Ovis aries: one gene and its partners. The protein of the gene in region 5 interacts with the protein of the main gene of each other region in a pairwise test. Links are inferred from orthologs where the notes say so. Each region holds a gene or a part of one and is shown on either strand. Other genes may lie near its edges. The genes, in order: MAPK1IP1L, MVK, ATPAF2, KHDRBS2, EWSR1, PRMT1 and FXR2.

Evidence for each region.
Region 1: the proteins of EWSR1 (region 5) and MAPK1IP1L interact in binary tests that used the Homo sapiens proteins (3 or more experiments, as listed by UniProt). The link is inferred for Ovis aries from reciprocal best matches to the Homo sapiens genes EWSR1 and MAPK1IP1L.
Region 2: the proteins of EWSR1 (region 5) and MVK interact in a two-hybrid assay, tested with the Homo sapiens proteins (2 studies listed by BioGRID and IntAct). The two-hybrid records come from large-scale screens. The link is inferred for Ovis aries from reciprocal best matches to the Homo sapiens genes EWSR1 and MVK.
Region 3: the proteins of EWSR1 (region 5) and ATPAF2 interact in binary tests that used the Homo sapiens proteins (3 or more experiments, as listed by UniProt). The two-hybrid records come from large-scale screens. The link is inferred for Ovis aries from reciprocal best matches to the Homo sapiens genes EWSR1 and ATPAF2.
Region 4: the proteins of EWSR1 (region 5) and KHDRBS2 interact in a two-hybrid assay, tested with the Homo sapiens proteins (2 studies listed by BioGRID and IntAct). The two-hybrid records come from large-scale screens. The link is inferred for Ovis aries from reciprocal best matches to the Homo sapiens genes EWSR1 and KHDRBS2.
Region 6: the proteins of EWSR1 (region 5) and PRMT1 interact in a two-hybrid assay, tested with the Homo sapiens proteins (2 studies listed by BioGRID and IntAct). The link is inferred for Ovis aries from reciprocal best matches to the Homo sapiens genes EWSR1 and PRMT1.
Region 7: the proteins of EWSR1 (region 5) and FXR2 interact in a two-hybrid assay, tested with the Homo sapiens proteins (2 studies listed by BioGRID and IntAct). The link is inferred for Ovis aries from reciprocal best matches to the Homo sapiens genes EWSR1 and FXR2.

The regions. Positions count from the first base shown.
Region 1 is NC_056060.1:65,599,202-65,603,127, reverse strand, and holds the start of MAPK1IP1L (MAPK-interacting and spindle-stabilizing protein-like), read right to left. Parts: upstream 2,801-3,926; 5' UTR 2,643-2,800; intron 1,343-2,642; 5' UTR 1,255-1,342; intron 1-1,254.
Region 2 is NC_056070.1:63,768,443-63,772,430, forward strand, and holds the start of MVK (mevalonate kinase), read right to left. Parts: upstream 2,801-3,988; 5' UTR 2,741-2,800; intron 1,494-2,740; 5' UTR 1,480-1,493; coding exon 1,402-1,479; intron 129-1,401; coding exon 1-128. Other genes in the region: corrinoid adenosyltransferase MMAB, read left to right, coding at 3,113-3,228. UniProt on the Homo sapiens protein: Catalyzes the phosphorylation of mevalonate to mevalonate 5-phosphate, a key step in isoprenoid and cholesterol biosynthesis.
Region 3 is NC_056064.1:34,270,625-34,274,746, forward strand, and holds the start of ATPAF2 (ATP synthase mitochondrial F1 complex assembly factor 2), read left to right. Parts: upstream 1-1,322; 5' UTR 1,323-1,494; coding exon 1,495-1,627; intron 1,628-4,122. Other genes in the region: GID4 (glucose-induced degradation protein 4 homolog), read right to left, coding at 714-902. UniProt on the Homo sapiens protein: Plays a role in the assembly of the F1 component of the mitochondrial ATP synthase (ATPase).
Region 4 is NC_056073.1:1,048,985-1,052,935, forward strand, and holds the start of KHDRBS2 (KH domain-containing, RNA-binding, signal transduction-associated protein 2), read right to left. Parts: upstream 2,801-3,951; 5' UTR 2,573-2,800; coding exon 2,485-2,572; intron 1-2,484. UniProt on the Homo sapiens protein: RNA-binding protein that plays a role in the regulation of alternative splicing and influences mRNA splice site selection and exon inclusion. Binds both poly(A) and poly(U) homopolymers. Phosphorylation by PTK6 inhibits its RNA-binding ability.
Region 5 is NC_056070.1:68,577,602-68,581,101, reverse strand, and holds part of EWSR1 (RNA-binding protein EWS), read right to left. Parts: intron 2,139-3,500; coding exon 1,927-2,138; intron 1,040-1,926; coding exon 859-1,039; intron 1-858. UniProt on the Homo sapiens protein: Binds to ssRNA containing the consensus sequence 5'-AGGUAA-3'. Might normally function as a transcriptional repressor. EWS-fusion-proteins (EFPS) may play a role in the tumorigenic process.
Region 6 is NC_056067.1:55,810,324-55,814,273, reverse strand, and holds the start of PRMT1 (protein arginine N-methyltransferase 1), read right to left. Parts: upstream 2,801-3,950; 5' UTR 2,755-2,800; coding exon 2,719-2,754; exon of another isoform or gene 1,707-2,718; coding exon of another isoform or gene 1,692-1,706; intron 1,512-1,691; exon of another isoform or gene 1,381-1,511; intron 513-1,380; exon of another isoform or gene 511-512; coding exon 457-510; exon of another isoform or gene 453-456; intron 259-452; exon of another isoform or gene 146-258; coding exon of another isoform or gene 143-145; intron 1-142. UniProt on the Homo sapiens protein: Arginine methyltransferase that methylates (mono and asymmetric dimethylation) the guanidino nitrogens of arginyl residues present in proteins such as ESR1, histone H2, H3 and H4, FMR1, ILF3, HNRNPA1, HNRNPD, NFATC2IP, SUPT5H, TAF15, EWS, HABP4, SERBP1, RBM15, FOXO1, CHTOP, MAP3K5/ASK1, MICU1 and NPRL2.
Region 7 is NC_056064.1:27,145,352-27,148,851, forward strand, and holds part of FXR2 (RNA-binding protein FXR2), read right to left. Parts: coding exon 3,410-3,500; intron 3,022-3,409; coding exon 2,950-3,021; intron 2,836-2,949; coding exon 2,687-2,835; intron 2,435-2,686; coding exon 2,341-2,434; intron 1,876-2,340; coding exon 1,759-1,875; intron 461-1,758; coding exon 290-460; intron 26-289; coding exon 1-25. UniProt on the Homo sapiens protein: mRNA-binding protein that acts as a regulator of mRNAs translation and/or stability, and which is required for adult hippocampal neurogenesis. Specifically binds to AU-rich elements (AREs) in the 3'-UTR of target mRNAs.

The DNA of each region.
Region 1 (3,926 bases), on a different chromosome or scaffold from region 5:
TTGTTTAGTATGGGGAAAGAATACTGGAAATATATTGTACTGAAAATATAAATTTTGAATGAGCATTTTTATGTGATAGTTTCTAGTATTGTCATTTATTAGCTAACACTCTGTTTTACATTTGGACAACTTAAGAAATTGGGATCTGCATGTTTTTGAACATTTTAAATTACTTAAAAATATGTAATTAAAAAAATAACTTTTCAACAAGGTCCTGTTAGTCCTATTTTCTACACTCATATTTATTGGAACCTAAGTGCTTGGTACTGCATTGGGCCTTGGGGAAATGAATAGTCTTAGGTGGAATAAACACTTAATGGCAGTTCAGTCTGGTGGAGAACTACCATTTAAACAGTAGGCTACCTGCGGTAAGTGCAGGGCACTATGGGAGCACCCTGAAGAGCTCCTAAAGGTATCAAGGAAAGGATTATCAAGGGAGGAATCCTGAGGAGTCCTGTCTTTGCAGTGTGGGAGAACAAAAAGACCTGGGGTAGGCCCTAGGGAAAGGAGCAGTTTGTGCAAAAGCTGGGGCAGGGACATATAAGCAGATCAGATTGGCTGCAATGTAGAAAGGGGAGGAATATGAAAGCTTCAACCAGAGAGTCTCTAGACCAAAGTTTGACCATCTCAGAGATAGCTCACCTCAATGAACCTGTTACTTCAACTATAATAATGGGTCCTTAAGGTCAGGGCTAAATGGGTCAGGACTAAATGGGACTGGTAAATCAAGTGCCTATAGTAAAAGTGCCTAGAGAACATAAATAAACATATCATCTTCTCTTCCTCGGTGTACGGGCTACTGCATATGGCTACAAGCCTGGGGAGGGGGGTCGGAGGGAAGTTCAAGAAGGAGGGGACATATGTATATACCTATGGCTAGTACAGGCTGATGTATGGCAAAATCCAACACAATACTGTAAAGCAATTATCCTTCAACTAAAAAAGCATTAGAAAAATAAAGGCGTGCACACCACAAGTATTTAAAACTAGGTAATGCTGCAGTTCACTGGTGGGCTCTGGACAAGCCAAGCTGTGCCAACCCCAGAGGTGAAAGCTGACAGTAGTATCCACCTCACAGATTTGCCGTGAGACTTACACAATAAATCTCCTGGTCACCGTCTGGCACGTAGCAAAAACTCAACAGGTGTCAGTTTCTACAAATTGCTATGATAGGTTTGTAAATTTTTACCTGCAGTTCTCAATTTAGAAACTTCTAGAAATGAAAGAAGTGTTCCCGTTTGACATAAAACTTACTTGGTGGACTTCCCTGGTGGCTCAGACGGTAAAGCGTCTGTTTACAATGTGGGAGACCTGGGTTCGATCCCTGGGTCGGGAAAATCCCCTGGAGAAGGAAATGGCAACTCACTCCAGCCTGAAAATCCCATGGACAGAGGAGCCTGGCAGGCTACAGTCCATGGGGTCGCAAAGAGTCGGACACGACTGAGCGACTTCACTTTTCATCGCTGCACAAATATTAATGCTGGATTGGGGACGCTGCCCCGACTCCGCTGGTGTGATCTCTCGTCTTTGTACCTTATCGTCTTTCTAAAACCTAAAGATAAAATTTTAGGATTTCTGAATTCCAAAACACACTGGTCCCAAGGATTTCAGTTAAGGGGCTGTCTCTGGGTCTCCATTCCTCGTGGAGAGAGAAAAAGGGACATTCCAGTACACATAACTCAAGTTTCTGAAACAAACTAGCTTTGAATAGAAAGTTCAGAGACACTCGTATTGAGAAAAATGTCTATTCCTCCTGCCCGAAGACCACTATTCCCGAACAAAGAGCTTCTGAAAGATTTCTGAAGGGTAACTTCGTCTTTAATGGAGGGTTCGTTTTCAAAACAAACTCACAGCCATGAAGCGTACGAGCGTGTATTTCTTTAGTAGCAACCCTATAAAAATGTTTTTCGTCTTCTGTCAGATGAGTATGCTTCCATGCTTCAACATTACTATCCCCATTTATTAAAAGCGCTACTCTTGGTTTTCAGAAGAAAACGGTCCAAAGCCACCAGGCGCTCCTAAATCCTAAAATAAGGGAGCACTACAGAACTCAACACTTCTCAGTTTGTCATGGATATTCATCTGAGTATCTGCTAGGAACTCCTCTAGAAAATGATGACAAAAAAAAAAAAAGATGAGCAAAACCTCATATTGCGAATAATCTTAAACTAGCGCCAAAGACTCCTACAAGAATCTTTCAGCCTTCCTCTCCCTTTCCTTAGCAATTAATGAGTAGGGGAGGGAGTCGGGGCCAAGGGGCGCTAGGCGGGTAGCCCTTCAGAGCCCAGCGAACAAAAGGAGTCCGGGATTAACCGGAGCGAACCGGCCTCCGAGCGGGTCGCGCCCGCCCGGGAAAGGGTGGGGGAGGGGCCAGGCCCGCTCCCCGCCCCGCCCCCCGAGCCAGGCCTGACGTCACCCGCCGAGAAATCCATCGCTACGACGTCACCCGCCCCCGACGCCCTCTCCTTGGGGGCCTAGCGGGCTGATTGCCCACAGCGGAGAGGAAAACCACGGGGAGAGACTCTTAGCCCCCGGCCCCCGCGAAGAGGCGTCTGAGGCACCTCCGTTACTGTCCCCGCGTCCCGCTTGGGCGGGCTCCCTCGCTCTCCTCCATGACCCCCCTAGCGCCGAGGCAGCCTCACCCGGCAAGATTCGAACTCGCAGCAAGATCTAGAAGTGGCGATGGGTCCGCGAGAACTGGGCGCTGAAGAACCGAGCGTAGCCCGACCGACGGCAGCGGAGACGGGGGCGGCAGCAGCACCAGCAGCGCGCGGCTCCTCCTGGCGCCGGAACAGGAAGCGCCGTGCTCGGACGCGCTGCCCCCACCCGGCTCCGCCTCCCCACTGGTCGGCGGGGCCCGGCCGCGCGCGCCCTCCTCAGGGCCCCGGTGGAACTGCGGCCAGCCAGTCCACGGCTGCTCGGCTGTTTTTCTCTCGGTGGGCGGGAGGAAAGATCCCTAGTTTCCCGGAGTTCTGAGTGTCTAAAGGAAACGCCAGTGGCGAGTTGCGCTCTGGCAGCCTGGAGGAAATTGTCTCCTGGAGAGGCTTGAAAGCAAGTTCTGGATTCCCTACACTTGCGGCATTTGAGAGTTAGGCCTCGAAGCTGGCTAGATGTGAATGCCTTCTAACCCGGGGCACAGATCCGTTGGCCAAAATTGTGGAGAGCTAAAGGAAATGGCAACCCACTCCAGTACTCTTGCTTGGAGAATCCCCTGGAGGGAGGAGCCTGGTGGGCTACAGTCCATGGGGTCGCAAAAGGTCGGACACGACTGAGTGACTTTTATATATTCTATGTAAAGCAACACTGCAGAAAAGTGAAGACGTTTGCAAATGGCTTGACAAATTGATATTAACAAAAGGAATGGATATCTTTGCAGGTTTTTTCTGATCAATATTTTTTTCTCCCCGTAGTTTAGTTTTGAATAAACCTTTACCTATCTACTCTGTGACAGACCCCAAAGGGGTCTGACCGCAGCGGTCAGGGAATGTGCTAGCTAACAATGAAGATGTCATAATTACGTGTTGTGCAAAATATACATATATAACACGTACATATGTTTTAGTGTAAAAATTAAAACGTATGCAGTATTATTAGATTTTATTTTCACTTGCTGTTAGTGGATTGGAGGGTGGACGTTTTACTATTAGCTTCTTAAACGAAGACTTATGTGGGTTTATTCCACAGCACACGTAATTCCCATACTGAAAAATGAGCGATAGAGAAACTTCGAACACCTAAGCCTGGGGAAAGTGAGAGAGGAGAGTGAAAAATTTGTCCTAAAGCTCAACGTTCAGAAAACTAAGATCATGGCATCTGGTCCCATCAATTCATGGCAAATAGATGGGGAAACAGTGGCAGACGTTCGTTTTTTTCTTTTTGGCTCCAAAATCACTGTAGATGGTGACTGCAGCCCTGAGATTAAAAGA
Region 2 (3,988 bases), about 4.8 Mb from region 5:
AGCTGAAGGCTGGCCACATCCCAGGCCCTCCTGATGCCAATGTTTGGTAAGTTGAGGCCCACTTTCCCATTGCTGTGGGGCTGAAGCCGGAGGAATGTTCTCAAGTTCAAGGCCACTGCTAGTGCTACCTAGAGAACAAAGGGCACGATACCAGCAGTTAGCCTGGGGGGCGTTGGCAACATGCATGGCTTCTGACTTAGGTACTAGCACATGGGCCACTCTGAACTGTGCCCTTGGCAGACGATTCTCATCAACTTTGGCACCTTCTTCACAGGCACAACCGCTACCAATCAATTAGGAGTTAATACCTACATATCTTTTCCCTTCCCACGTAAAACTCAGAATTTCTCAACACCAAGGGATGGCTTCCCTAATCACCGTGTTTTCAAAGATTAATATAAGAATGTGAAAAATGACAGCAGGGAGGAGCAGAAAAAGCATGGCTTTAGGTTCAAGCAGACAGGGTCACTCCTAGCTCTACCGAGGTGTGCGGGACCTTGAACAAGTTGCCAACGCCCTCCTAAGCCTCAGCTTCCACAACTGTAAAATAGGATAATAAAAGTTTAACTATGAGGACAGTTTTAAGAGTTAAACGAAATATGCATGTCTCAGACTCCTTTGCAGGATCCTATTCATTTTCCCCAAGAGTTTAGCCCTTAAACTTCATCTCTTCTCCACTGAAGCTTACTTCCTAAGTGACTTCATTACGCCCACATGGCTTTCTGTGTCATTTTCTTGCTATCTTACTGGGTGGGCCAGAGAAGTCCTTCAGCGAGCCTAACACCTGCCTTTTCTTTGCCCAGCTGGGAAGAAACTGACCTCCTCTCTGATCTCCCAGGCTATGCCTCAAGCCTTTCTTTCAGCTTCTTCTAAGACTGCATCAGCGGACTTCCCTGCTGGTCCAGTGGCTAAGACTCCACGCTCCCAATGCAGGGGGGTCTGGGTTTGGTTCCTGGTCAGGAAACTAGATCCCACATGCCGCAACTGCGACCCAGCACAGTCAAATAAATTAAAAAAAAATTTTTTTAATATATTAGCATCAGGGGACTTCCCTGGTGGTCCAGCGGTTAAGAATCTGTCTGCCAATGCAGGAGACACAGGTTTGATCTCTGTTCCAGGAAGATCTCACATGCTGTGGAGCAACAAAGCCTGTGCTCCAGGACCCTGACAGCTGCAGCTATTAAGCCCACGAACCACAACTACTGAAGCCAACTTGCCTACAGCCTGTGCTCCACAACAAGAGAAGCCACAGCAAGGAGAAGCCTGCACTTGCCTCAACTAGAGAAAGCCCTCACGCAGCAACGAAGACCCAGAGCAGCCAAAACTAAATTTAAGAAAGAGAAAAGATTAGTGTCCAGGAGCAGCAGTTCCCAACCCTCAAAGGTTCAGGGGGCCTTGTACCTTGCCGTGGACCACAGCATGCTCTCCATGCAGAATGACTTTCCCTGGAGCAGATACCAGCAGGACTTCTGACAACATGGCTCCTGGGAGTCCTGAAAAGGAAAGAGAGAGAGAGGATGGAAGGTCCCCAGACCTCAGAGAACCCCTAATTAAAGCACCCCATTATTACAAAAAAGGCAGCTACCATTCAGCACTTGCTGTGTGCCCCAAAAGCAGTGCGGGGCAGCAGTCAGCCTGCTGCTGCTGCTAAGTCGCTTCAGTCGTGTCCGACTCTGTGCGACCCCATAGACGGCAGGCCACCAGGCTCCCCCGTCCCTGGGATTCTCCAAGCAATAATAATAATAATTCTCCAAAAAATCTGGGTTCGAACCCACTGCTCCCCAGTGATGTCATCTTAGCTAGCCACACAGCCATCAAATAGCCACGAACCTTAAAAGTTACACAGGGACAGTAACTATTTACTTTAATGGTTTCTGAGAAAGTTAAACTAAATAACGCAAGCAAAACACTTAGCAGTGTCTGGCACACCACAGTCAGTTACTGATAGCTCGGTATTACTGACTCTGTTTTTGGTTCCAGCTTTTATTAGTACTACTATTAAAGGTAGAAATTTAAATGAAATTATGGACTGGAAAGAAATTTTTTTCCTGGGCATTTTCAGGCTGTTTCTAACGTTTCACAATTAGAAACAAGTTGCAGATAAACAGCTGTTACACCTCCCCACCCCCCTTTTTTTTTTTGCACACTTAAGTCAGGATCTCTGCAAGACAGAGTCCTAGAAAGTGACTTGCTGGGTGTGCGTGTGCACATTTTAGATTTTTATGAATAATGCAAAGCTACCCTGATGGCTCAGACGGTAAGGAATCCGCCTGAATGCAAGAGACCCGGGTTCGATCCCTGGGTCAGGAAGATCCCCCAGAGAAGGGACTGGCTACCCACTCCAGTGTTCTTCCCTGGAGAATCCCATGGATAGAGGAGCCTGGCAGGCTACAGTCCATGGGGTCGCAAAGGGTCGGACACGACTGAGCGACTTAAAAAACAGAAAAGAAAAAAACTATCTATTTAAGGCTTTACTTCAGTAGCGTGAGAGCTGAACCGAACTATGAGCTAAGTGCTACCATGACCCCAGTTCCTCAGGGAGGGAAACTCAGACTCCAAGTGAGGAGACCTACTGCTTGTCCGCGATTCAAAATCCTGTCAGTTTCCAGGTCGCCGGCTCCTGAGGACGGATTTTCAGAGCTGAGGAAACAGCCTGAGAGGCCGGGAGCCCAGTCCGGGGTCGTTCTGGGTCTCGGCCTCGGCCTTCGCGCCACCTCGCCTCGCAACCCCAACCTCTCACCTGTCGCCTCAGGTGCTTGCTCCCGAAGCTGGGCCGCTCCAAGACTCCATACCAGAGCTCGCGGGTACCCGAGGTGAGGCGGCTTCTTCCTTCCGCCAAGCCAATCAGAGCGTACGAGCCGAGAGTTCCCTTTACCAATTGGCTTGAGCATTGGCCAATAGCTGCCGTTCACCAAGTCCTCACGGATTTCCCCGCCCAAATCCTTCCCTGGACCAATGGGAAGCAAGTCCCTGGGAGTGTCCCGCCCTGGGGAGAGAGCCACGGACCAATAGAAGATGAGGCTGAGCGGTGGCGCGGCCGGCGGTAGGTGGAGTCGCCTCGAAACCTGGACGGCAAGCTGGCGGGGTCAGCCCTCGACGAGCGGCCTGGGGCATGGCTGTGTGGGGCCTGGGAGGTCGCCTTGGCTTGCGCGAGTGCCTTGGAGCCCGCAAGCTATTGTGTCCCCGTTTCCAGAGCCGTGGCCCCCAGGGCGTGGAAGACGGGGACAGGTGAGTACCTGGCTGAGAAGTTAACTCAGACACCTGACCTGAGTTGTGTTGTCGTCGCCGTGTTTACATCACACCGATGGGAGGTCACCGCAGCAATCGCCAGGTGACCTCCTCTTTAATCCTGACGTCACCATGGCAACTTGGGCTCCGGGGAAACCAGAGACCAAGATTTCTTAGCACGAGACAAGTCCAAACGAAACCCAGCATCCGTCAGGACCGGGCATAGCCCACGTGAACCAAGAGGGTCATCTTGCTTGACCTCACAATCAGTAGGGGTCCTCAGTTCGGATCTTAACCTGTCTGCAAAGCAGTCAAGACACAGAGAGACACCAGCGCGTTGTAAAGATGGCTCTCATCACATACCTTGAAACTAGCACCCCATCCTGGACCTCAAACCTGACTCACTCCAGTACTCTTGCCTGGAAAATCCCATGGGTGGAGGAGCCTGGAAGGGTGCAGTCCATGGGGTCGGGAAGAGTCGGACACTACTGAGTGACTTCCCTTTCACTTTTCACTTTCATGCATTGGAGAAGGAAATGGCAACCCACTCCAGTGTTCTTGCCTGGAGAATCCCAGGGACGGGGGAGCCTGGTAGGCTGCCGTCTTATGGGGTCGCACAGAATTGGACACGACTGAAGCGACTTAGCAGCAGCAGCAATATGTTTTATAGATCCAGTAATTCAACCTCTAATAACCTTTTAATGTCACATTTTAATGTTGAAGTCTGTATTAAAGGTGTTGCTATTTGAAAATGCCTCTT
Region 3 (4,122 bases), on a different chromosome or scaffold from region 5:
CAGAGACTACAAAGGAAGCCCTGACATGTGGATCAAAGTTAAAAATACAGTAAGAGGGTCCCCTAGAGCCAGGAAGGAGGAGAACAGAGAGATGGGGAGGTCTGGGCAGACAGATGGACAGAACAGGAGTGGACTGGAAGTGGAAAGAGGGTGGGGAGTAGGGAGTGTCAAGAGTCTGAGCCAGGAAGAGACTATGGGTTGGGGGCTAGGAGATCAGCTTCTAACAGACTGTGAGGAGCCCACTTAGGATGTGAGTGCCCAGGCTAAGGAATGGGCCAGCAGTCCAGGTGGGATGGGGGCCCTCAGGTCCCGGGGCTGATGGAGAGAGGAGGCGGATGAAGCTCTGCCGGGGAGGAAACCCCCGGAGAAGGAGGCGGGTCCCAGGGCCTGGGGTTCATGGGACCGAGGAAAACGTGGGAGGCAGCAGGCACGTCTAGGGCCTGGGAGCGTCCAGAGTCAGAGGGAATCCCTGGAGAGTTTCCCGGACGGGGTCCGAGAGGGACTGAAAGAAAGACTGTTGCCGGGGCGACAGGCCACGGGGAGGCAGGGCCGGATCTGAGGCGGCCGGTCCCCGGCTCGGGCCCGCAGGGTTGGGGTGCGCCGGAGGGCCCCCGGCAGGCCCGGGCAGCAGGCCCGTCCGTGGCCGCGGGCCCCAGGGGGCGGCGGCGTGGCCCGGTCCGTGGACGTCTCGAGAGGCCGGGCCGCCGGCTCACCTGCAGCACTACCTCCACGTCGTACGAGTTCCCCTTGCTCTTCTGGTGGCCGCGGAACTTGGAGCCGCTGTAGAGCAGGCTGGTGGCCACGCCGGGCTGCTGCGTGTTGATAGGCGGCGGCGGGATGAGCGAGGCGGCGGAGGCGGCCGAGGCACCGGCCGGCGGGGGACACTCGGTGCGGACCGGCATCGCGGGGTCCCCCGGAGCCAGGGCTGGGGGAGGGGGAGGAACCGCCGCCGCCGCGCGGAAGCCGAGGGCAGACGGAGGAGAAGCCGGCGCGCGCGTAGGGCGGGAGGGGTCCACCCGCCGGCCGCAAGCAGATCGAGCGCTCCGGCCACCACCGGGACCCCGGGACCTGCGAGCAGGGCCTCCGGGTCCTGAGCGAACCCCCTCCCCGCCTGCGCTCGCACACACACCCCTTCCGATTGGCTCGGGCGCGCTGAGGGGCGGGATCAGGCTGGCTCGGCGATTCCGCCCATTGGCGGGCGGGGAAAGCACGTGGCGGGAGCCGAGGCCCTCTGGTACTTGTAGTCTTTTTCCCGAGGCGCGGCGCGGGGGCGGGGCCGGGGCGTTTGTGATGCTGATTGGCTGCGGCGTGCGCTGAGGCGCGCGGCGGCGGCGCGCTACGAGTGTCGTGCGCAACATGGCGGCGCCCCAAAAGGGAGAGGGTGCCGGCGACTGGTGAGGAGGTTTGTGGAGTTCGAGCACACGGCGTGTGGTCCCTCCGCTCCTTTTCCCCGAGCTCTGGTTTCGAGCGGTCGTTCTCTGAGGCCCCCGCGCGATGTGGAGGAGCTGCCTTCGGCTGCGGGATGGGGGGCGTCGCCTCCTGAACCGGCCCCGAAGTGGCCTCACCGCCTCCGAGGGGCTGGGGCGAAAGCCCCCTATCCCCTTCCGGGCCTACGTGCCCCCGGCAGGTGAGAGAGGCCAGGGCGGAGCAGGCTGAGGGGTCGGCCATGCAGGGTCACACGGTGGGAGGGAAGTTCCCCGCGAGGGCAGGGATCGCTCCAGGGCACACGCGCGTCGTTTCCTTTTGGCAGGTGCGGTTTTTCTCTCTTTCACTGGGGAAGCAGAGGTCATCCTTATTTTCAGGCGGGGAAATTCGACTTCTGGGTCGGGATTGCGCTAGAGGCGCGAAGCAGACTCAGAGGTTTGCGGGGCAAAGGCCAGTCTGCTAGGCTGCTTTCTGTGTCCCCGCGACCGGCACTGAAGGGGCCTGAAGCTCGGGCTTTAAGTCTTCCATCCCGGCCGCTTGCTCCACAGCTGTCCTGGCCCTGCCTCCTGCTGCCCTCCCAGAACACCTGCCACCTCTTCTAAGGAGTTGACACCCCGTGCCCCCTTCCTGCACTTCCGACTCGGATGAGGCTTTCTGTAGCGGATCTTTCTTACTCCTAGGCAAAGATTTTGGGATAAGAGTGGGACTGACTTTAAGTGAGTGAAGACAGTAACGCTTTCTTTCCTGCCAGTTAGTACTGTGCTGAAGGTGGGGGTGAGGAGAAGGTCACTGCGGTGTTGGAGCTGTTCCGAGGTCGCCCGTGTGGCCTCCAGTCCCCTACCAGCTGTCCCAGCCATCAGCTGCATAGAGAAGAAAGGTCTTCAGAGAGCCTGCCTGTCCAGCTGAGGAGTACACCGGTGAAGTCAAAGCTGGGGGTCTCTGCTTACAAGTTGTCTTGTCTGCACAAGTGGTTTAGCGTCTCATTGTCTGCCTCCTCTAAAGAGACAGCTTGTGCTGGATTGAGGGAGATGCTGTAGATAGGGAGGCCAGCCTGCCACCTGTTTTTGTAAATAGTTTTCCAGGAACCCAGGCCCGCTCATTCACTGACACACACCTAAGGCTGTTTTCACTACAGTGCAGAGTTGGCTGGTTGTGCCAGACACTGGATGGCCTGCAAAGCTTAAAACACTTTGGCTTTTTACAGAAAAAGTTTGCCAGCAGTGCTGTGGATGCTAGAGCGGTTTTGGGGAAAAGTGTTTAGTCATCTGGCCCGTTTATAGTAATTGCTGTGGTAGATACACTTGCCCTGAAGAATTTTAAAACAGCCTTACTGAGATGATGCATTTAGAATTCACTCACTTAGATTGTACAGTTTAATGGTCCCTAATGGCTCAGATGGTAAAGAATCCACCCTTGTTGCGGGAGACCTGGGTTCAATCCCTGGGTTGGGAAGATCCCCTGGAGGAAGGGCATGGCTACCCACTCCAGTATTCTTGCCTGGAGAATCCCTGTGGACAGAGGAGCCTGGCGGGTTACAGTCCATGGGGTTGCAGAGTCGGACATACTGAGCGACTAAGCACAGTATACTCAGAGTTCTGCTGCCATCAGTTCTGGAACCTTCTTATGACACCAAAGGATCCCTGTACCCATTAGCTGCCACTCTGAGTATCCCCCTGCCCCACCCCATCCCTCCAGCCCTAGACAACCACTACTTCACTCTCTATGAAGTCAAGTCGCTCAGCCGTGTCCGACTCTTTGCGACCCTGTGGACGGTCGCCTACCAGGCTCCTCCCTCCATGGGATTCTCCAGGCAAGAGTACTGGAGTGGGTTGCCATTTCCTTCTCCAGGGGGTCTTCCTGACCCAGGGATTGAACCGGGGTCTCCCGCATTGCAGGCAGATGCTTTAACCTGTGAGCCACCAGAGATCTGTATCTATAGATTTCCCTATTTTGGACATTTCATATAAATGGAATGTGGTCTTTTTCTCCATTTAGCGTATATCCAAGGTTCGTCCTGGCTTCCCTGGTGGCTCAGACGGTAAAGCATCTGCCTACAATGCAGGAGACCCTGGTTCGATCTCTGGGTCCGGAAGATCCTCTGGAGAAGGAAATGGCAACCCACTCCAGTACTCTTGCCTGGAAAATCCCATGGACGGAGGAGCCTGGTAGGCTACAGTCTACGGGGTTGCAAAGAGTCGGACACGACTGAGCACCTTCACTTTCACTTTCACAAGGTTTGTCCTAGAGTTAGCGCATGTCAGTACTTCATTCTTTTTCATAACTGGTAATATTCAGTTTTGGGGACACACCATGTCTTATTTACCCAGTCAGTCATTGATGAACATTTGGGTGGTTTTCATCATTTGACTGTTCTGAATGCCTTTGTAAACACTTGAATACAGGTTTTTGTGTGAGAATGTGTTTTCGTTTCTCATAGGAGGTACCTAAAAATAAATAGGACGTCCCCAGTGGCTCAGGGTTAAAGAATACACCTGCAAGGCAGGAGACCCGGCTTTGATTCGTGGGTCAGGAAGAGCCCTTGGAGAAGGGAATGGCAACCCACTCCAGTATTCTTGGCTAGAGAATTCCATGGACAGAAAAGCCTGGTGGACTGCAGTCCATAGGGTCACAAAGAGTTGGACACAACTAAAGCAATTTAGCACACACGCAAGAGCAGACTTGCTGGATCAAACGGTA
Region 4 (3,951 bases), on a different chromosome or scaffold from region 5:
TTGCATCTACCACCAATCAAAACAGCAAAACAAATCATTATGAATGCTCAGTGGCTTACATCACTGACCTTGTATATATTACCTTCCAAAAAACCATTTCAAAGAACTGAATCATCTGGATCATTTTTATTACACACTCAGTCTTGAGACATTCTGCACAGTGCTGGCTGAAATGTACTTCATGGAACACCTTCTTTCCTAACGAACATCTATGTCAGGTGTATTTATAGCCACTGCCTTCAATCAGTACATTTCCAGGGGTGAAAAATAAAATTATCTCAACAACACTCTCCTATAGAGATTCGAAATAAGACCTAAGAATCTAGGTAGATGGCCTTTGAAAAAACAACGAAAGATCTGTAATGTAAAATGTATGTTAAGGTTTATTCAGAAGGACACTGTTCAATGAGAACATGAAGAGGCTTGGGTACAATTACAGAATTTAGATCTTGTGGATCTTTCAGCCAGCTGCAAAGAGTCTCTTTATATACTCAAGATTATTATCATTACTCCCCTCCTCCTCCTCCTCCTTATGATTCCTCTGAAATGTGGACACCTATCTTTGTTTCTTCCTTAGACATTTTTCTATTTAGGCACTTTTTACTTCTAATTCATTACAAAGGCAGAACATGCTTCCCCCTACTGGGAAAATATTAAATTACAAAGTACATAGGAACATGTTCCTAAGTATCAAGAAACCAAATTTCTGAGAAAAATAAAATGTTAAGAAAATTTTAAGGAACCAGGTTCACAGACTTTTCTGGCTGTTTTACCACAGAGAAATACTTCTATACTCTGTTTAGAGCTCCTCACATGCATTGCTTTAGTCTGGCAGTTTTCAGTACACTAACTCTCATTAATAACTTATGAATTAATCATCTAGCCTACTGTCCCCAAAAGAAGTCCAATTAGCAGGTCTGAGAAAATGATTAATTTGTAACTTTTTCTATTTTAAAGACTTTATCAGCTAAATGAAGACATTTCTGGAAAATGCATTGAAATAGATGATTTAGGAACACAATGACATTTTTAATCATTTTGAATATTTGTTAATCCATTAATTTTCAATGTTCCTATTATTTTATGTAGTTTATTTATTTTTAATAGATTAGATTAGAGGTTAATTTTTTAACTTTCATTTACAATTTTAGGTTGCATTTTTTTATTTAGTAACCAAGAAGTAGCAAGCATGACTGCATTTTCCATTCCAAATCCTCTACAAAATCAACTTGTCCCCTGAAAAGTAGTTTACTTGTTTCACATGTTCAATATTTCAATTGTTGTTTTTAATTACTTAATTACTTAATATACAAAATAGAAAAATATCTGATACTTTATTGTTGCAAATAACAATCCATCAATAAAACATTTAAATAAGTATAATGCCTATTTAATTCATACATGGAGGATTAGAATTTCTCCTTCCATGTAAAACTAAATCTCACAAAAGAAAACATTTCTTTTGATGCTGAAGGGCTAAGGGGAAGAAAGTTATTACTTTTAGTTTTGCTGTAGGTAAGTTCCTAAGAACCTAAGGAACAAAACTGCATTGTAGTCAATTTGATGATGAAGCAACTCATTATTGAGACATTCACCCCCCCACAAAAAAAAAAAACGAAAGTCTTTAGTTTTTATAAAGGTAAATGTAGATTGCTACAGATATTTCTATCATACAGAAGTTCCTGTGTGTGTGTGTTTAAACAACCCTTCAAAAGAACACAAAAGAAAAGATATTTATATTCCCCTGGGAATTAAATCTCTTTCAACATTAAAGTACACACACACACACACACACACACACACACACACTGCACACACACACATACACTGCACACTTGGTACAACAGTTGATCAATTGTGGAGGGTTCCCAGGGACCAGCATCTCCCAGAGCACACAATCATCACACTTCAAATAAACTGATATGCATTTCAGCCACTTCCACATGCACAAACAGAACACGCATAATTTAATCTAGGTTAATACTAAGTCTTTCCATAGGAAAGACTGTAATTAGACTAAGAAAATCAAAATCACTTCTCAATCAGAAGGGAGAGAAAATAAGAGAAAAGAAAGGGGGAAAAGGGAAAGAAAAAGGGAAAGGGGGGGGGGACTGATTTGTAGATAAGAAGAAGCTCATCAAACACCACGTTGATCACCATTCACTCCAGACTGACTTCCCTTCCCTTGGCGGAGTTAAAACATCCCGGTGGACCACGCAGCTCCTTAACGTCGCTCCATCAGTGATCCTAAAGGGCACTGTCTTCACAGCCAGCGCCCGCCGCTCCGGGCTACCCGGATTCAGCCGCGAATGGAGTGAGAAAGTAGCACCCGCCTCCCAAGGACCAGCTCCGCCGCGGCTCTGGGCGAGCATCGTCCAGGGCAGTTTCCGCGAAGGAGACAGGCGTCCTCCCGTACTCCGCTCCCCGAGCCCCGCCGCGGCGACAGGGGCCGGCGGTCTGCGCCCACCCGGGGGCAAGTCCTACCTTCGGCCAGCAGGCGCGAGGCGTGCACGAAGGACGGGTCCAGGCTGTCTCTCTCTGCCATCAGCTCAGGCAAGTACTTCTCTTCCATAGCGCGGACTTCGTACGGGCCCCGCCAGGCTCAGGGCTCCGTGCGCTGGACGCACGTCCCCGCCGTCCTGCTCTCCCGCCGCCCGCCCGCCTCAGCTACGGCCGGTGTCTGGCGCCCTCTCTGGGCCGTCGCCGCCCGCCCGGCCGCGGGCTGAAGTGGTGCCGAGCCTCCGGGCCGGTCGAGCGGCCGTACCTCGGTTCCGCCCAGGTCGGCTTGCTCCGGCGGCCTGGACGGGGAGGCGGGCACAGGACGCGTTCTGCCCCTGCCAAGCGCTCATTGGTGGGTGTGCCTTGAGGGGCGGGGCCCGCAGCGGCTGAGAGTCGCCATTGGGCCGCATCGGACGTCGATGCGCCGAACTGGCGGGAGGCGGAGCCGCCGGGAGGAGAGCAAGGAAGGTGCGCGCGCTTTCTCCTCCCAGCCGGCACCCTCCGGCCGTTAGGCAAGCTCAGCTGTGGCGCCCAGGTGCAAGGAGCCGTCTGTCTTCTGCGGAGGCGCGAGTCTAGAAGAGCGGGAAGGGCACCGTAACCGAGCAGCCGGAGTCCGAGACGGCGGGGAGATGGGGCGAGGAGGCGCGCAGCGAGGACTGGAGAGCGCCGGGAGCGCCTCAGGAGCGCAGAGCTGACTCCACCCGCGTCCTGAGGCTCAGCTGTTCCCTCTCCTACCGGCACACGCACTCGGTGCGTAGAGATCGGCGGCGCTCCCGCTCTGGAAATACAGTGAAGACTGCTTGTGATGGGTGGCTGCGATTTCCAGTGGGCTTGACCTGTATCTAGGGGATGCAGTAGATGCTCATTGATGAACAAATAAAGCGGCTCCGCGGCGGTATCGCCGCACAGCAACGCGCCTCCACTGGACAGTCACAGCGGGACTGACTGGTTTTCTTCCGTCCGTTCCTCCTTCCCCAGTCCCTATCTATAGGGGCCTTCTGGGAGGGGGCTGAATTTTACAACTAAAGCCACGTAATCAGTTTGTGAAGGAATTAGAAAAACATGTGGAAGAAGGAACAGGCTAGGAATCAGGCAACGACAGTTGCTCCGCCCTCCCCGTATCTCCGTCATTTAGGATATGCAGTCTGTTTCTCCAAGTGCAATTGCTGTTCCTCTTCTGATAAAGCAGAGTTAAACCCCCCGGGTATCACCAACACTGCCCATGCTTCTCTTACAAATGCATTTCAAAATGCAGTTTAAGTACTTTGGATATTTTAAAATAAACTTTTCCACCATCTCTTTTCATAAAGTCATTTTCTAATTCGTCTCTCCCCCACCATTTTTGTTCGTGGAAGAAGGAGGGCTCACTTCCCTATAAATAGAGCATGCTGAAACTTTTTTGAATATAAATTTATTTACTTTAATTGGAGGTTAATTACAATATTGTATTGG
Region 5 (3,500 bases):
ATCCAATTTATACTTATACCAACATTCTGCATAACTTTTTTTCACTAGTTTATACAGGGACAGAACACACACAGAACTAAGCCTTCTGGATTATGTTAACCAACATTTCACCTCACCTTCATCAAAGTAGAGACACCAGAAAGGGAAAAGGGTGCGGGAGGAGGGAGGGGAAGGGCGGGGTAGCAGGTTCACGTTACTCTAGACAAAGTTTTCTAAACCAGGTCGTTCCATCCATCAAAATGGTCAAACCGATTTAGACTTCTCAAAATCTCCACTGGGGAGAGTGATTCCACAATTATATACATTACTCTGCACAAAGCTACTAGACTTCTCTGTACACCAGGTGCACCTCAGGCCATAGTTCAAGGGTTATGGGACCAAGATCTTCATCATTATGTTCAACAGTTCCAAGTATAAACAGAAGTTGGGGACAAACATTGTGGAAAACAGCTGCATTCCTTTTCTGCAGTATATACACCACGTATTTCAAGACAATCATTCAGAAGCAATTAGTCAAACACCTAAGGTTGTTAGAAGGGTTGTGTGTGTTCCATCCCAAATCTATTACCCAGGAGGCTTTTGACCTCTGGAAACCAGGAAGGGGACTGAAAGCTCTAGTTTCAAAACCATTCTTTGTTCTCCCCAACCCAACCAAGTCAACTGGCATTGAAAAAAGCAAACTGCCTCTATAGATATGCCACAGAGATGACATTTCCATGTTTGCAAGATGGCTTGGGCTCATCAGACTATCCATGGAAATGCAGAAATAAATTTCCTATGTCTTTCAGTCCCTTCTTTCCACTGAAAATCCTATGGATGAAACAAAATTAGGTAAAAGGAGAAAAGGTTTGCTCTTACCCCATTCCACCGCGTCCTCCTCCCCGCCCACCTCTGCTCATGCCTCCACGATCAAATCCCCCTCTTCCCCTGCCCCGGTTATCAGGGCCACTCATGCTCCGGTTCTCTCCTGGTCCGGAAAATCCTCCAGACTCCTGCCCATAAACACCCATGCTACTGGGGTGGTCCTGTCGGAATGAACCTGAGGAAAGAGTCACATCTGTAAGCCATGGATCAGCATTTACACCACTGCTGTTGTACTTTCTCCTGGAATCATAGAATTCTCAAGTGCAAGGCACTAACCGAGGTATCATCTTCTTTACATCTGATTAAGTCCCCCATCAGTAAGCTTTTCATAAAGTTCAACAAAAAAGGCTGAAGTAATCTCATATAGTTTGCCTAGGAAAAAACCACTCTCAAACAAAAACAGGACTCTGACCAACAGTTCACAGGGTTCTGTATCCCAAGATGCCTTAAAAAACTGGTCTTTAAACCATACTCAAACAAAAATGGAGTCAGGTTTCTTGGGGTTGCTAAGGGGTCGTCTCCATCAAGAAGCACGACTCATTGTCATAATGAGACATACTCATGGGTGCATTTTAAAGACAACAATCCAGGCAGACTAAATTGTGAAGACAACTTTTTGAATTTTTGGTTACTTTTCCACATAAATTAACTGTAAGCATTCCACAAAAATTTTTGTCTTATGAATGTACACAAAAAAATCAAAATACAGTATCTTTTAAACTATCAAAACTTCGAGAGTCTTCAATAGCTACCTGCTCACGCTCTCTTAATGAGCTGGGGTGGGCAGGCCATATGAAAAGCTGGCTTCACTCACTGCATATAACCTCCCCAGAGAGCAGGGCTGGCAGTCTGAAACTTTTTCTCTGGTCAGTTACAAACTCTCTTTTCTCCTAAGGCATGCTAACAACAATTAAACTGGAGAAAAGCCAGGATTATTAGCCAGGATATGATACCCTCAAGATGCATCCTGGAGTTCAAAAGCACACAGTGGTAGAGTGTTTCCCCGTTTCAGAAACTCCAAACACAACCATTCTTATTTGGTTTTCTCTCTTAGCAACTCACTCTGCTGCCCGTAGCTGCTGCTCTGTTGACTATATTGACTTGGAGCCTGGCTGTAGGATCCAGTCTGGGGGGGGTAACTAGTGGGTGGCTGCTGCCCATAGCTGCTTTGCTGGCCATAGCTACTCTGCTGCCCGTAGCTGCTCGGCTGCCCGTAGGTGTTCTGCTGGGAGTAACTGCTCTGATCGTAACTAGTCGGCTGCGTAGAGGAGTAGCTGAGAAAAAACAAAACAAAACAGTTTGTTAGGAGAGACTTGTTATTTTAGGTCCCCTAAATGTAGGAGACGTTCCCAGCATGTGCCATAGAAACTCTTAAAACTCCAGTTACTTTTTACATATTAACACACTGAACTTAAAATGAGCAAGTATTTTTGTATTTAAGTTCTGAATAGGAGAGGGTATTATACCACACACACACACAAAACAAACCCATCTATAAAATGTACAACCTTAATTAAGAGTCTCCCCCTTTACCACCCCCACCTTTACTGAAACAGGGCTTCCCAGGTGGCATGGCAGTGGAGGGTTGGGAGGCTCCACCTGCCAATGCAGGAGACACAGGTTCAATCCCTGGGTCAGGAGGGCCCCCTGCAGAAGAGACGGCAAGCCGCTCTCGCACTCTTGCCTGGGAAATCCTACGGACAGAGGAGCCTGGCAGGGCCATGGTGTCGCAAAGAGTGGGCCATGACTGAGCACACACACGCAAGCACACGTGCTCATCAGAACAATAGTTATTCTCAACCAAACTCAAGGCACGTTTGGGAGCCTAGGTGCTTCCTGTATTAAGGGAAGACTGTGCTCCCAGGGAGGCTGACCCAGGAAACGGCACCGAGAAAAGTGAGGCAGCCCGGTATGGTGCTCAGTCCCCAGGCTGCCTGCCCACATCATGCCCTGGAGTGACGGCTCGTTTTCTGAAGGTACCAGGCCACCTGATGTGTGTCTGGGTGGCCACTTTTTTCCTGAGCCTAAGTTTCAAGTTGCTTTGGTGTGTACATAGCTCCTGACTTCCAGACATGCCTGATCGTCTATGAATCTGGGCATTAATAAGGAAAAGATGGACAAGGAAACATCAGACTCAAGGTACTGTATGAAAAATGAATATCAGACTGATATTCACCTTCACATATGTCAACTAAAGGGAAGGGAAACTAACCAAAGATACTCTTACACAGAAATAAAGCTTGAAATATTAAACTTTAGATGAACCATGACAGTGAAAAACAACACAACGCATAATACAATTTTAATTCTAACTACAATGATTTTAAGTATCTGCACCTCCCTTACCACAGCTGTAAAACGTTATTTGCGCAAACGTGTCCAGCTCTCTGCAACCCCATGGACTGTAGCCCACCAGGCTTCTCTGTCCATGGGATTCTCCAGGCAAGAATACTGAAGTAGGCTGCCATGCCCTTCTTCAGGGGGATCTTCCAGACCCAGAGATCAAACCCGGGTCTCCTGCATTGCAGGCATATTCTTCACTGTTTGAGCCACCAGAGAAGCCCCTGGGAAGCTGTAAGGACTCAAAAGCCTCTCTTCACACCAAGCGCACCTATTCCACTTGCCAGATTCAGTGC
Region 6 (3,950 bases), on a different chromosome or scaffold from region 5:
CCCCATGGAGTATACAGAACCACTCCCCAAACCGTACCATGGCAACCCTACAGCCCCCACCTGCCGTCTTGCCTCGCCCAGGAACCCCCCACCCCCAGAGCACCATCCAGGAGGGCACCCCCGATACCTCAGCCAGGCCTACCATCTCTCCAGTCTGTCTGCCCCCGTCTCTAGCTCAGCCCACAGCTGGGGAAGGGAGGGGAGAGGAAGGCGGAAGCGGGGCAGACACAGGGAAGGACAAAGGTGGGGTGGGGGGCTGTAAATGGAGTTAAGGAAGTAGCCACAGTATTGGGAGAGGCCAGGTGGGGGCCCAAACCTGGACGGAGTCTGGACTAAGTGTTTCGGGGGCCAAGGGTAAAGTGGTTTGAAGCCAGAGGGATCAGTTAGACCACTAAAAAGGGCGTGACGTGTGAGGAAATGTGTATGTGGGAAGGGGTCTCACAAAAGGATATTTACTTCTTCAAGAGGCGGCTGGAGGCTCATCCCATTAGCCAAGGTGGCTACAAAATTCTAGGAGAGAGTAACAGGGAGAAAGGATTAGCTACCAGGAGCGGCTAGGGGAGGGCCAGGCCAGGCGACCCGGGCTCTTGGGCAAGAAGGAGGTGTTTCCTACAATTTTGCTTTTCCTTTGTGAGCAGTGGTGGGAGAAGGAACAAGTAAAGAGGCAAGGCTGTTTTCAACAGGGGTGGGGGAGATGTGGGGGAGCAGGGAGGGGGTTCTATCCCAGCTGTGGCTGGAGAGATGGTGGCCTGCCCCCACACTGCCCCTGTTGGGCCAGGCACCTGAGCACACACGCCTCCCCCATCCAGGCCAGAGGAACTGGCACCCGCCGGGCACAAGGGCACTGCCAGCTGTCACTCCCCCTCACCATCTAATCTCCCCAGATTAGATGACACTTCCTGACACAAAGCCTCATCCTGGGGTACCATTCGAGCTGGGGGAAGGGAACTGGCAGGGTGTACCCACTGGGCATCTGTCACCTCTGCAAAGCACTCTCTCATCTGAGAGGATTCCAGAAAGGAGGTGTGGCACACGGGCACCCCCCACCAGAGCTGGCATGCGGGCTGCTAGCTCCTGCCTGGGACTCAGGGAGTCCCAAACAAAACAAGGGAGTGCCAATCTCCTGATTATGACCCTCTGCGCAGGAGGGCAGAGTTCCACGGAGGAGGCCAGACCCTGGACCCCCAAGCCCATCTACTCCCCGTTCGAACCACCATCTCAGGCCCAGAAACTCCCCAGGGGAGGGGCCGAGTCCTGGATCCACCTCTGAGGAAGATATTTCCTCCAGCCAAGAAGGCCTTCGTCTAGCAGAGAGCCAAGGGGGAGTCACTGGAGTGACCCCTGGGGCTGCCCCCCAAGGTATGCATCTTGGAACCTCACCTCCCATTCCTGAGACTGCTACAAGCTAAGAGGTGAGAGTACGGAGGGCCCAACAGATTACAGCTCTTCCAGATGCAAGCACTCTCCAGGCGCCAAGAAGCGTGAAATCACAGACATAACCCCTGGGCTCCAAGCCCCACCTCCATCCTCCCCAAACCAGTGAATGACGCGGATACGGAAAGACGGCGGGTGAGGGGACTTCCCCTGAGGGCCCATTTCTCTACACCACCGACATCACCGCCAGACATGCCCCCAGAGCGCTTGAGACACAGCATCATGGCAAGCCCCACATAACTGCAAGAGAATCACACCTCACGGGACACCATTTCACGCAAGCAGGTTCAGGACCCTCAAACACGGGTTCAGGGAGGAGGTGGTCAACTCCCATCTTCACAAATACCCCAGGGAGAGGAAGGGCCAGAAGGAGGTAAATCCGCTGCCTCCACTACCTCACAGCCCTTCCCAGGACAGATTCTCTCTCCCCTCGCCCGGGAGGGCTTCGACAGGGAGGGGGGCTTGGAGACACGCCCCATGAAAAAGATGTCCCTCCCACACACCCAGAAATGGCCACAAGGGGGTGCACAGCGCCTAATCGGGAAAGATCTTCCGCTCGATGCCCCCCCATAGACCAGAGGGAGGTCACAGGGGCATGCCCCATCCCCCCAGCTCCCAAAGAGGGGGAGAATCCAGAGACAGGAAACTGGAGGGTAGGAGGGGTCCCAGAGGGAACCAATTCTTCGTCTTCCTCCAATCCCAACGCAAGAGCGCACGAAACCTGGACCGATGCCTAAGCAGATGCCCTGGTCCCAGGAAAGGGTTTGTTAAGGGTCGAGGCACACTGCCCCTCCCAAGAGCCTCATTACTGCACGGAGGTCCCCACCCCGAGGTGCCCGTCACGATCCCCGGGGAGGAGGGTAGGGGGCCTCGGAGGGAGGGTCGGAGCCTCCTCTCCGCCCCCCCCCGGGGCGCCCCTCCCCTGGCCGGGGGCGGGGCCTTTGTCCCGCACGTGGAACCCGCCGGGCAAGCGGGCACGGCACACCCCCTCCCCACCCACCGTGCCACGGCCACGTGGGGGCCAGGCCGGAAGCGCCCCCAGCCCTCCTCCACGTGGGAGGGGGCAGTAGGCCCTCGGCTCGGCGTGGCGCCTCAGGCCCCCGAAAGCTAGGGAACCCGCAGTTCAAACGGTATCCTCGGATACGGAGCACGCGGCGCCCCCCTCCGTACGGCCAGGGGCCTTCAACCCCAATCCGGCGACTCAGAGCCCCTTCCCCACGGCGGAGGCGTAAAACACCGACTTCCAAACCGCCCCCCGCCCCCGGTGGCGCTCCTGGCGCTCACCTCCATGATGCAGTTCGCGGCTTCGGCTGCCGCCATCTTCACCCGCGTCTACTCCTCCTCCGGCCGCCGAGACCCCCCCCCTTTCTCCGCACTCCCCCGGGACCGCCTTATACCGGAGGGTCTACGGCCCGCCCACCGCGACCCCGCCAGGAGATCTCATTGGTAGAGGAGGTGACCCGTCTGGAAATACCATTTAGCCATTGGGCGAAGGAGACACCCATCAAAGCTGAGGTGCCCGCCTACTCTGGCGTGCCGAACCCCGCCCCCTTAAGTCGACGGGGATGGGAAAGACTGCCCGTCTATCGCAAGAAGCGCGACTGACGATTGGGCAGAATCTACTGGGAGTTCCCGCCCCTTCTCCCGTACCGCCTCAAAGCTTCCCGGCGGACCCTGCGCTAAGCGGACATCTTGAAATAGAACTATCACCAAAAGTACCCGCCTCTTAATAGCTGCTATTGGTTTATTAGCAATGTGACGTCATGAGGCTTTCGGCCTGCCTCCGCCAAGCTGCTGGCCTCAAGGAGAACGTGACGATTGGCCCACGAAAAAGGAAAGCAGGCTTTAGGCTCCAGAGATTGGCTCAAACAAACTGTCACTCACCGTTCACTCTGTGGCTTCTCCCAGCTTGTAGGGAATCCAACGGGAAATAAGGGAGCTTGTGCCCATTTTCCTGATGGAAAACTGAAGCAGTGAGAGGCTCAAAGAGGTCTTATCCGTGATCCTGAATCAAGTCAGAAATGGGACTCAGGCGTCGAGGTGTTTAATCTTTAGCCCTCTACTTAATTGTTACAAGTTTTTAAAACCCAGTGACCCCACTCAAGCACTTGGCCTTTGCCAAGTCCTACCCATGCTGGAACACCCACCCCCTTCGTCTGGCCTTCATGAGTCAGTCCCGGCATAACTCAGTCGCCACCTCCTCCAGGTAGCTTCCCTCGACCTGTAGAAAAAGTTACTTGTTGAATGAAGGTAACTGCTACTTGGGGAATGTATCCCATCACCCTAGAAAGTTCCTTCACGACCCTTTCAACACCGCCCTCCCACCCAACCCCAGAAGCAATCACTGTTTCGTTACTATAGTGTATCTTTTCAGCTGCTAAATTTTCCAATAAAAGTATGTGCTCTTTTGTGCCTGTCTTGTTTTTCTCAGCATAATGTTTTCAAGATTCGTTCATGTCTCATATAACGATTGTCCAGCCCTTTTTATTGCTGAGGAGTATTCCATTGTATTGCTG
Region 7 (3,500 bases), on a different chromosome or scaffold from region 5:
GGGCCTGTCGGCATGCTTCAGGAGTCTAAGAGAAGAATGGGGAGTTATTAATAAAACAGAGGACCTGGATCTCAAACAGTGATCTTCCTGCCACTCTCTGTCTTTGGGAAAATGTGCTGCCACCACAGTCTGGGAGGGAGGAAGCAACTATACACCAGTTAAAGGAAAAAAAAGGTATGCACATTATTTAAAAAAAGGGGAGAGAGGTGAACACGACAGGCTTCCTTTCTATTTCACACACTCTTCTGTATCCCCGAAGGGACCTAGACAACAGATATCTTTTGCTGACCTCCCCATAGATGCGGAAAGTGCAGGTCTCTTCACCCAATTCAATGGCAGTCACCCCAGGTACTTTTCGGGCCTGCTGGATGTTGGCACCATGAGTCCCAATTGCTAGTCCCATCAGGTCCTCTCGCACTGTGAACTCCTCTTGGAAAGCTGCCGCCAGCTGCTTGCTTGTCTGAAAGAAAAAAAGACACTGACTTATAGGAATCATGGTGAAATCTCAGACACCTGTCCCGGGAATCTGACACTTTGCATAACTTCAATAAGAAAAGACTGTGAAAGAAAGCCAGAACTATCTGGAAGTCCACTGACCACCAGGACCTGTGTGGAGAATTTAGGAATGCTTCATTCCATTCCTACCTTCTCAGTACCAATGGCTTGGTGGGCAGGGGAGGTAATGATAGCAGGGTTTGGGCTAGGAGCCATCAAAGTTCTGGATTTGGCTCTAACACCATCTGGTTGTATAATCCCAAACAAAACATACTCTCTGTGCCTCTGCTGTTTCCCACTAAACGATTACCCCTGACCTGCCCCATTCCCAGACTAACAGGATTAAATAAGACTGGTGTTTAGAAAGGACTTTTCACATGGTAGATGCAAGTGTAAGGAATATTTACCTTATCCAAACCAATACAAACTCCCAAAATAAAACCCAAAAAGTTGAGGAGAAAGCAAGAGGTTAAGAAAAGCATAAAAAGAGGCTATGACACACCATGTTACCACTTCATTTCTCAACCAGCCCTCAGAGGGAGGCCTGAGTACAAAGGGAGGCAAAGGGAAAGGCTCTGGCAGCACCCTGAGGAGCATCCCTGGAGAAATACAGATTACCATTTGCACAGGCTCCCATAAAGATCAGTTCACTTGATTAAAAGGAAATGGATGTTCAAATAACACATACACGTGTGCACCTCACTTAGGACAGTATAATTCCTAAGAGAATCTGACCATCATAAGATGTCAGGATTCAAAAAGACCTTGTATAAACACTCTCTTTCAACTTCCTCATTGTCACAGATAGGAAGAGAAAACTCACTGGAATCAAATTATTTGCCAAAGGTCAATTATTTGACAAAGCAAGACAGGATTGATTCCAAGACTAGGGATCTTTTCCAGTGTACAAATGGCTCTCACAAAGTGGTTTGGTTCTCAGAGGTAATTTGGGGGCACCCAGTGGAGGTAAGACCCACACCTTCTTCTACTTTTAGACAGACTTGTTCTGATTCATCTGTCTTATGCATTGTGCTTTCAAGTAAAATTTCACTTGGTCACATGGTCCCGTAGCTTTAAAAAAAAAAGCTTCACACAAAAAACATGATGGAGCTCTGCCATCCAGAGATGAAATAGCAGACCCAGGTTTAATGGCCCAGAAAGATCTTAACCTCTGTTCTGTAAACATAAGAGTATGAGTGGAGGATGAGGTGGGAGGGAAGACAACAAGACCATTCAGCAGTAAAAAGTGGAGCCCAAACTTACCTCGAGGTGCTTGGTAGCTTCTTCATTGCGTGACATGAGCAGCAGTTTGGTGCGCAGGCTTCGAAAATGCATATCACCCAGCAGGGATGCTCGCTTCACAGGGGCTTCCGTGGTTGACTGGAAAGAAACCAACAGAAAAGTCACTAAAAACTGCCTATGTTTTAGAGGAGAGTCAGGAACTGGGAAATCAGGACACCTGAGTCTCTGGAAAAGGGCAGGAGTTTAAGAAACAAAGTTGAGGAAGAGAAAATCACTGTTGGTCTCACAAGGGCCTACTATCTGGATGCCTATGGGAACTGATCTTACGTGGCAAGCACAAGTGAGATTCATACTGTTTCTGACAGTCCAAATATGCAAGAAGGGTCCTTGACCCATACTGCAATATGATGGTCAGGTTGAAAAAAAATTAAGGCATACATGAGAAAGACTAAGGAATAGTAGGGCTAACCTGGGTCCACAGGATTCAGGAGGAATAAAGTCCTTTCTGACAAATAAATATAAGCACACTTTAGCTCTTCCCTTCTTGCAAAAGAGTTAAAAGGGGAGAAGGGCTTAGGTGAAGTTCAGGCAAAATAAACTCACCAGGATGAAGAGCTCACTATTTGTGATGTTGAGAAAGATGCAGTTCGCTCCCAATGCTTTCTTAAACTCTTTATGGACGTTTTCATTGGAACAGCTGCAGAGAAAAGAGAACAGTGCTCAGAGGGCAGAGTGTAGAGTATAGCTGAACATTCACGGGAGAGAGAGGGACTGAGAAAAACAAGGACTTCAGTTAAAGAACAGAGATGAGGAAACAGAACTGGGAGCAGAGAAGACTCTAGAGGGTCAAGGGAACACAAAACACACTGGGAGCAGGGCCTGGGACAAACACGTGCAGAGATGAGGACCATAAAGGGGGTCCCCCACACCCAATATCCCAAACACTCACGCCTCTCTCAGATCCTCAGGCACAGCCATGGTAACCTTGAAGAAGCTGCCTTTGGTTGCAAGGGGATTGGGATTAACGGGCCGAAGCCGTTCCAGGGTGACAATCTCATTGTAAGTGGCATCGCAGGCAGCATATTCAATAACATAGAACTGGCAGAAGGAAAGAAAGAAGGTGTGGATAACATGAGCTTCTGTCTCCCACCATCCTCTGACAAAAATGTTTCAGCAGTTCCCCCAAAGACCTTGACAATCAGTCACACTCACATCTCCCTTCATCATCCGCACCCGGGCCAGCCACCAGCCACAAGGCTCTTGCTCATTGGCTCGAGAATAAACCTGAAGAGAAGTTGAAAATAAAAGAGATCTTGAGGCCCATCTAAAAACATCAAGAATAGAATGAGCATTAAGACACTTAAGAGGCATCCTAGACCAAGATAAAGGAAACTAGAGGAAGGAGCTGCTAGTTAACATCAGAGGACACTGGAGTTCAGATGCTGTTATCGTAAATGGAAGCAAAGTGGATCCCCTGAAACTAGGAAGCTCCCTAAAGGCTTGATTCATCACAATGGTGATGGACACTTCACTCCTCCACAGACTGCCTAGCTGGATGGAGGAAGGAGAGTGCAACAAGCAGTAAGGAGCCTATGATACCTGTATCAGGGTAAGGGAGATGCAGAATCCTGGGAAAAGTGATGTTTAGAAAAGGTGGACTTCAGGCCCTTACCTCCACTTCATCCCCTTCTGTGATCTCCTTGTTATAGTCAGCTGGAGGTGGTAGCCGGACATCCCCAAAAGGAATCTGTCTTTCACTCTGC